2 linked regions of the Bombyx mori genome follow. The protein of the gene in region 1 interacts with the protein of each later gene in a pairwise test. Links are inferred from orthologs where the notes say so. Each region holds a gene or a part of one and is shown on either strand. Other genes may lie near its edges.

The links.
Region 2: the proteins of ras-related and estrogen-regulated growth inhibitor (region 1) and trafficking protein particle complex 6b interact in a two-hybrid assay, tested with the Drosophila melanogaster proteins (2 studies listed by BioGRID). The link is inferred for Bombyx mori from reciprocal best matches to the Drosophila melanogaster genes CG5160 and Trs33.

The regions. Positions count from the first base shown.
Region 1 is NC_085119.1:9,102,991-9,106,830, forward strand, and holds part of ras-related and estrogen-regulated growth inhibitor, read left to right. Parts: intron 1-1,802; 5' UTR 1,803-1,853; coding exon 1,854-1,980; intron 1,981-3,103; coding exon 3,104-3,240; intron 3,241-3,599; coding exon 3,600-3,758; intron 3,759-3,840.
Region 2 is NC_085131.1:8,415,670-8,418,770, reverse strand, and holds trafficking protein particle complex 6b, read left to right. Parts: upstream 1-1,618; 5' UTR 1,619-1,714; coding exon 1,715-1,804; intron 1,805-1,903; coding exon 1,904-2,167; intron 2,168-2,272; coding exon 2,273-2,398; 3' UTR 2,399-2,504; downstream 2,505-3,101.

The sequences.
Region 1 (3,840 bases):
CTCTCCATACGCTTGGTATTAGTAAAATGTTTGTGTACCGGGCTATTAATAGGTGCAATGAGACTTCCTCTGTTTGTGACAGAAAAAGATCTGGCCGTCCACGTAGTGCTCGTACGAAAAAGGTGGTCAAAGCAGTAAGGGAAAGAATTCGAAGAAATCCTGTCCGAAAGCAAAAGATTTTATCTCGGGAGATGAAGATAGCAAGCACCTAGAACGATGTTGCGTATTTGAAAAGATGACTTAGGACTTGCAGCCTATAAGACACGTACTGGTCATTTCTTAACTGATAATTTAAAAGAGAATAGGGTGGTAAAATCGAAACAACTACTGAAGCGGTACGCAAAGGGAGGTCATAGAAAATTTTTGTTTACAGATGAGAAAATTTTTACAATTCAGCAACATTTTAACAAATTTGTAGTCCCTAAAACAATTCATACGACTGGCAGTGAAAAATTTTCCCATGGAAAGAGTGCGTGCTTCTATTGATAACTAGCCTCAACATTTAAAGGACTGTATTGCAGCCAATGGAGACCACTTTGAATAAGCTTTTTATATTTAAAATTGTTTTATATTTATGTATTAAACTAACACACTGTAAAAGTAATAAATGTTATTTGCAATAGAATTTTTTTTTTTCCTTTGTCTCAGTATTTATGGCGAGACTAGGTATATGAAAATTGTATCGACGACAAAGCAATTATGGGTCTCGTAATGTATTCATAGCTCCGGTGACAATGTAACAGTACATCGTTTTATGACACTGGAATACAATTAGCAAGGGTCATGTTAGCTAAATGAGTGTGAGAGTACACTAAAAATGTAGGTCGCACGCAACCACGATGGTCATAGGTAAATTAATCTCAAGGGAAGGGTGTTAAATTAAGTTGTTTCATGGTAAGAGTTACACAATCTTATTAAATTGAGAACTTTTTTGAAACCCCTGGGCAATTTTAATTGAGAAATGGTATGGTCCTTTTAATAAGCGAAGTGCTTAATATAAGATTATTGGCATACTTCAAACTCTCGATAGCTTTAAATAGGTACCTGAGAAAATTGGAAAACGAAATAACAACTTTAGAAGAATTCATTTTGGGTATAAAATATTTGTGTAGCTTGTGGTAGGAATAGGGCGTACGCGGACGAGTATGTACCGCTGTATTTGATAATTTTTGTCACGAATCAATTAGTTTGGGTTTGAAGTCCCAATGTTGTTCCAATGATGTTATTGAAATTTCCATATTACTTATATGTAAATTTGGGCAGTGGCAGTCCCGTCACGACGTCTATGAGTTCGGGTAATTATCACTAATAAGTCTTAAGCTAGTTTCTTCATGCCCTAGGGAAGTAAGGAAATAAACACATATCATTTTCCTGCCCTTCTCTCAGTCACCTGGGGTCGGCGCAACATGTTTTCTCCTTCCATACTCCTCTGTCATATACCATATCTTCGCTCACTCCCCTCTTACATATATCGTTTTTCACGCAATCCATCCATTTCTTCTTAGGTCTACCTCTTCCTCTATATCCTTCCATATTCATAGTTATCACTCCTTTCTATTTGTCTCATCACAGGTCCTTACCATCCGAAGGAAATAGACACAATATAATTAAAAAAATATATACCTAAATACTTGGCTGCACTAATTTCCCTTGCACGTAGCACTGTATGGTAGAATTCATGAAAAATTATCAAAACTAAATTTACCTTCAAGTTGAATGTTGTGGATGTAATTTCTGATCGTATTAGTTATTATAAATAGTATGCGATTATGCCTTCGACGTAAAATCATTATTTGTTTCAGAAATATCAAAATAAATCAGGTAATGTTCGACTTAAAAACATAAAAGTTGTAATGGCTTCAGACATGGCTGTCAGTACTAGTACATCACCTAAGAGTTCTCTGGCGAAGCTGGTGCTATATCCTAAACCAAAAGCGTTTAAGATTGCGATATTGGGTCAATCTGGTGTCGGAAAATCAGGTAAGCCACTAAATCATTTAATTACAAAGAATTTATTCTTTAATTACTTGTGTGTACTTATGTACCCATAGTTTGTAGCTATTTGTTACCCATAGTTTGTAGCTGTTTTATAGCCTAATAAAATGTAGAACGTAATCCTCCATCTTCAAACTTGACTGTGGGTAGATCTTGGTGGGGGTTTCTTTAGAGATTTTCTATTGTGCTTTTGTGAAGGAACACCATCGTCTTTGTAATAAATAAATAAACCATAAGCTATAAATAATAAATACAAGAAACGTATAAGCTGCTTCTGAAGTTTTTGCTGTTGATTTTATTATGATATTTGTTTTGTTGATTATAATTGAGGTGTGTTGTTAGTCACCTGTTTTTACAACGAAACCAGTCAAGCTGATAGTTCTGCGTCTTAGGCTGCGACAGTACTTATGGAATATTACGAGATTTTGACCAAAAATCACAAAGAGGGTGACTTAATTCATCGTAATCGGTGCTTTCTATTGATTAAGATGATCAGCGAGCTTATTATTTATCCTTCATCATTCATAATCATTCCTTCTGTGTTCTATACATGCAAAAATTCATATTGGTTTGCCGTAACGCATAAGTCATCAGCATATAACAACACTGCTGCTTTCCTAATAATTCTGGTTTTGTCGAATTTCAAATTTAATTGAAACTGGCAACTATTTCGCTACGTTTTCGTTTTGTTTTCATTGTATAATTATTACAGCATTAATTGACTACATTGTAAAATGGTAACAAAATGATTTAAAGTAAATTGTAACGTAACCTAATTTTAAAACGGTTACCCTAAATCCAGTTTCTTGATGTCGCTTTTTACACGGTTTTCATTCTAGAAAGTTCTGATAGTTTCTTAAGTTTTCACGAGTTGCAGACTTCATCAAGTGATTACACGATGATCTTATTCCACTACTATATTCACCGTAAATGTGCAATTTAATTGTACTGACTACTGCCGCAATTTAAAATCAAAGTTCAAAATAAAGAAATAATATCGTAAGTTTAAGAGATAGTTTCAAAATTGATCACATTTCGATTGAAATAACGAAATTTTCACACGACATGTACGAATTGTCGGATAAATAATTTTTTTATCTGTTTTTAGCTTTGGTTGTAAGATTTATAACACGCCGATTCATCGGGGAATACGACTCGAATTTGGAAAAGATTTACGCTTTCCAAACCGTCATTGATAACGAGATGGTATATTTCGAAATATTGGACTCTGCCGGAGACTCGGGTGTGAGTTCATTAAGCGTTGTTTTTGTCTTTTTGTCATACGTGGTGGTCATTTACATATATTTTTACTGGTGGTAGGACCTCTTGTGAGTCCGCGCGGGTAGGTACCACCGACCTGCCTATTTCTGCCGTGAAGCAGTAATGCGTTTCGGTTTGAAGGGTAGGACAGCCGTTGTAACTATACTGAGATCTTAGAACTTATATCTCAAGATGGGTGGCGCATTTACGTTGTAGATGTCTATGGGCTCCAGTAACCGCTTAACACCAGGTGGGCTGAGAGCTAGTCCACACATATAAGCATTAAAAAAAAACGTATATGTGAGTAGCCCATAGTTCATATATTTTTATTGCATTGTTAGCAGGACGGGGAATATGCGAATTTGGAGAGCAATATCAGATGGGCCGAAGCGTTTATTTTGATGTATTCAGTTACGGACAAATGTTCGTTCGACGAGTGTCACCGACTCAAATTCCTTATTAACTACAACAAAAGACGACGACGTCTAGCTTCGTCTATTAAGGTCTGTTCGTAAACAACAATCTATTTTTAGTCCACAAAAGATAACCGAAAATAGACATTGTGTGAAATCGAACATGTATTTA
Region 2 (3,101 bases), on another chromosome or scaffold:
ATACTAAGGTAGTTTCCATTTCACTTATTCTCATCCCAATTGACCCCTTTTTCATTGTTATTTGTACCTAGGACGTCCCCAATATCCCCAAAAACAACAGATTTTTACATGTATTTTTATTTTATCAAATACATTAATACCAATAACAACTGAGAGTTACCTTTGACATATATGATGGTTCAAACACTAAATAACGTTTATAAATCACAGTCGTCTTCTATTATTATGAAATGAATAATAGAGAGCAAAGTTTCTAGCACTAAAATAATTACCACCACAGGAAGTTAATTTGAAACGCGATTTTTTTTAACTTAGCAGCTATTATCATGCATATTCAGAGTTGTTTTGTAAACTTTCAACATTCTACTATTAAACTACAAAAAATGGAAGATTTTGTATTGAATATAAAACTAATATTGAGCGTCGAAAATTTTCCCGGTTTTTTCCCGATTCGCCTCTCAATCCCTAATCGCCCTATTTTACGGTATCTGTGAAAGTGCACAAATGTAGGAAAATGAAATAAAGCCACTGGACGTAACTTCTCGGGATCCTCCAAAAAGTTCACTGAAAAAATCTCAGAAGTAAATGACCACCATTTTACTGAGATTATGTTTCATCCCATATCATCGCATCTCATTTCATTTAATTTCATCCCAATTGATAAATGTCTCAAATTAATCATCTTCATTTAATTTCACTCCATATCATTTTTCATAAAAGAATATAAATTAAAATAAGACATGACTAAAAGATCTTAGTTACCAGGTCATAAAAACCCATTATAAAAAAATGTGGTTAAGTTTGGACTTTTTGGCGGGAACGCGAGGAGTGAAGTTGTGTGAATTGTTTTATTTTGTCTATTTAGTGTTTCTTCAGGTTTAAATGTGTGATAACGTTGGTTTATTAACTGTTTAATATCTGAGAAAGTGCGCAAATGTGGGAAAATGAAACAAAGCCGTTGGACGTAACTTCTCGGGATCCTCCAAAAGTCCACTGAAAAAATCTCAGTAAATGACCATCATTTTACTGAGATTATATTTCATCCCATATCATCTCATCTCATCTCATCTCATCTCATTTCATTTAATTTCGTCCCATTTGATCTCAAATTAATCATCTTCATTTCATTTCATTCCATATTATCAGTTTTCATAAAAATAAGAATTTAAATTAAAATAAGATATGACTTAAAAGTCTTAGTTACCAGGTCATAAAGTCCCTTAAAAAAAATCTTTAAAAGCACAAATGTGGGAAAATAAAAAAAAGCCGCTGAACGTAACTTCTCGGGATCCTCTAAAAAGTCCAATGAAAAAGTTTTAGGAAATGGCTACCATTTTACTGAGATTATATTTCATCTCATATCATCGCATCTCGTTTCATTTAATTTCATCCTACTTGATTAATGTCTCAAATTAATCATCTTCATTTAATTTCACTCCATATTATCATTTTTCATAAAATTAAGAATAAAAATTAAAATAAGACATGACTTAAAGGGCTTAGTTACCAGGTCATAAAATCCCTAAAAAAAAGAAACTAAAATTAAAAAAGAATTTACTCAATTTACAATACAAAAGTTCCTTTAGCCCCTTTTTTCTTTCCGTGTGTGTTTTCATTTGTAAAGACAGATTATATTACCTACGAAGCGTTATTATTATAAATAAATATGCAATGAGTAATAAACCTTAATTAAAAATATCTGGACCCCTCAAGAATGGCCGACGACATCATATTTGAATTATTACATTCTGAAATTATAAATTATTCTATTGAAAAATTCAAGAATAACGATAATGGCGAAAAGGTTTGTTTAATCAATATGTATGTAATGTTAAATACTAAATAATCGTTTGAGATTAGGCAATATTATTACAATAAATACATTTTAATACATCGATTTCAGGAAACTGATTTGTCTGTTGTCGAATACATCGGGTTTGCGGCAGGCTATAAAATCATGGAAAGATTAACGAGGGAATGGCCGCGTTTTAAAGATGAATTAGATACTATGAAATTCATATGTACAGATTTTTGGACTTGTATTTACAAAAAACAGATAGATAATCTTCGTACAAACCACCAAGGAGTTTATGTACTTCAAGATAATGCATTCCGTTTTCTAACAAATTTTTCTAATGGTCATCAGTACCTGGAATATGCTCCTAGAGTGAGTAAAAACTATTATTTCTTATATTTCTTTTCATTGACCTTTGGAATTAATAAAATTTACTATCAAAGTATTGTTTCTAAATCAGTGTTTTTACCATTTCAGTATGTTGCTTACACTTGTGGGCTCATTCGAGGTGGATTGGCTAATCTCTGTATTAACAGTATTGTCACAGCAGAAGTTCAGTCTATGCCTTCATGTAAATTTCATATACACGTTCAAAGAACATAATACAAATCTAGATTTGCTTTGTTTACATTGTTTTAATATGTTATAACATGTTATGTTATTGTTTAATGTATTATTTTTTTTTAAATAAAGGAGTAATAATATATTGCATATTCTATTATTTATTATGAACATTTGGGGTCCTGGACATGTCAAGGTCACTAGTGCCATGAGTGTATTAAGCACTTTATTGTTCACTTTGGTTATAAGCCTTAAACAGGATTGTAATAACTATTGTAACTATTAAAAGTATTCTGAAGTTGTCATGGCCTAAAAGATAAGTCGACTCGTGCATTTGTATTGAGTGATGCACTGGAATTCAAATCCTGCATGCCGGTACCAATTTTTCAAATTTTCAAAAGATGTTCACAATTGACTTTCATAGTGAAGGAATAACATTATGTATTAATTAAAATCAGTGTGGGGCAGCTGTTTGTAACTACTGAGACCTTAGAAATCATATCTCAAGGTGGATGGCGGCTTTTACCTTGAGCCTATGGGCTCTGATAACCACTTAAGGTCAGCCGGGCCGTGAGCTTGTCTACCCATCTAAGCAATAAAAAAAAAGTAATTGCTTAATATAAGGACTATTGGATCTCAAAAAACAAGCATAATAAATATCAATAGATTCTTAGATACTTTATAAATCTTGATATCTCAGTTGTAAACCACACAAATTAAATAATTACTAGATAAATAACTAAAG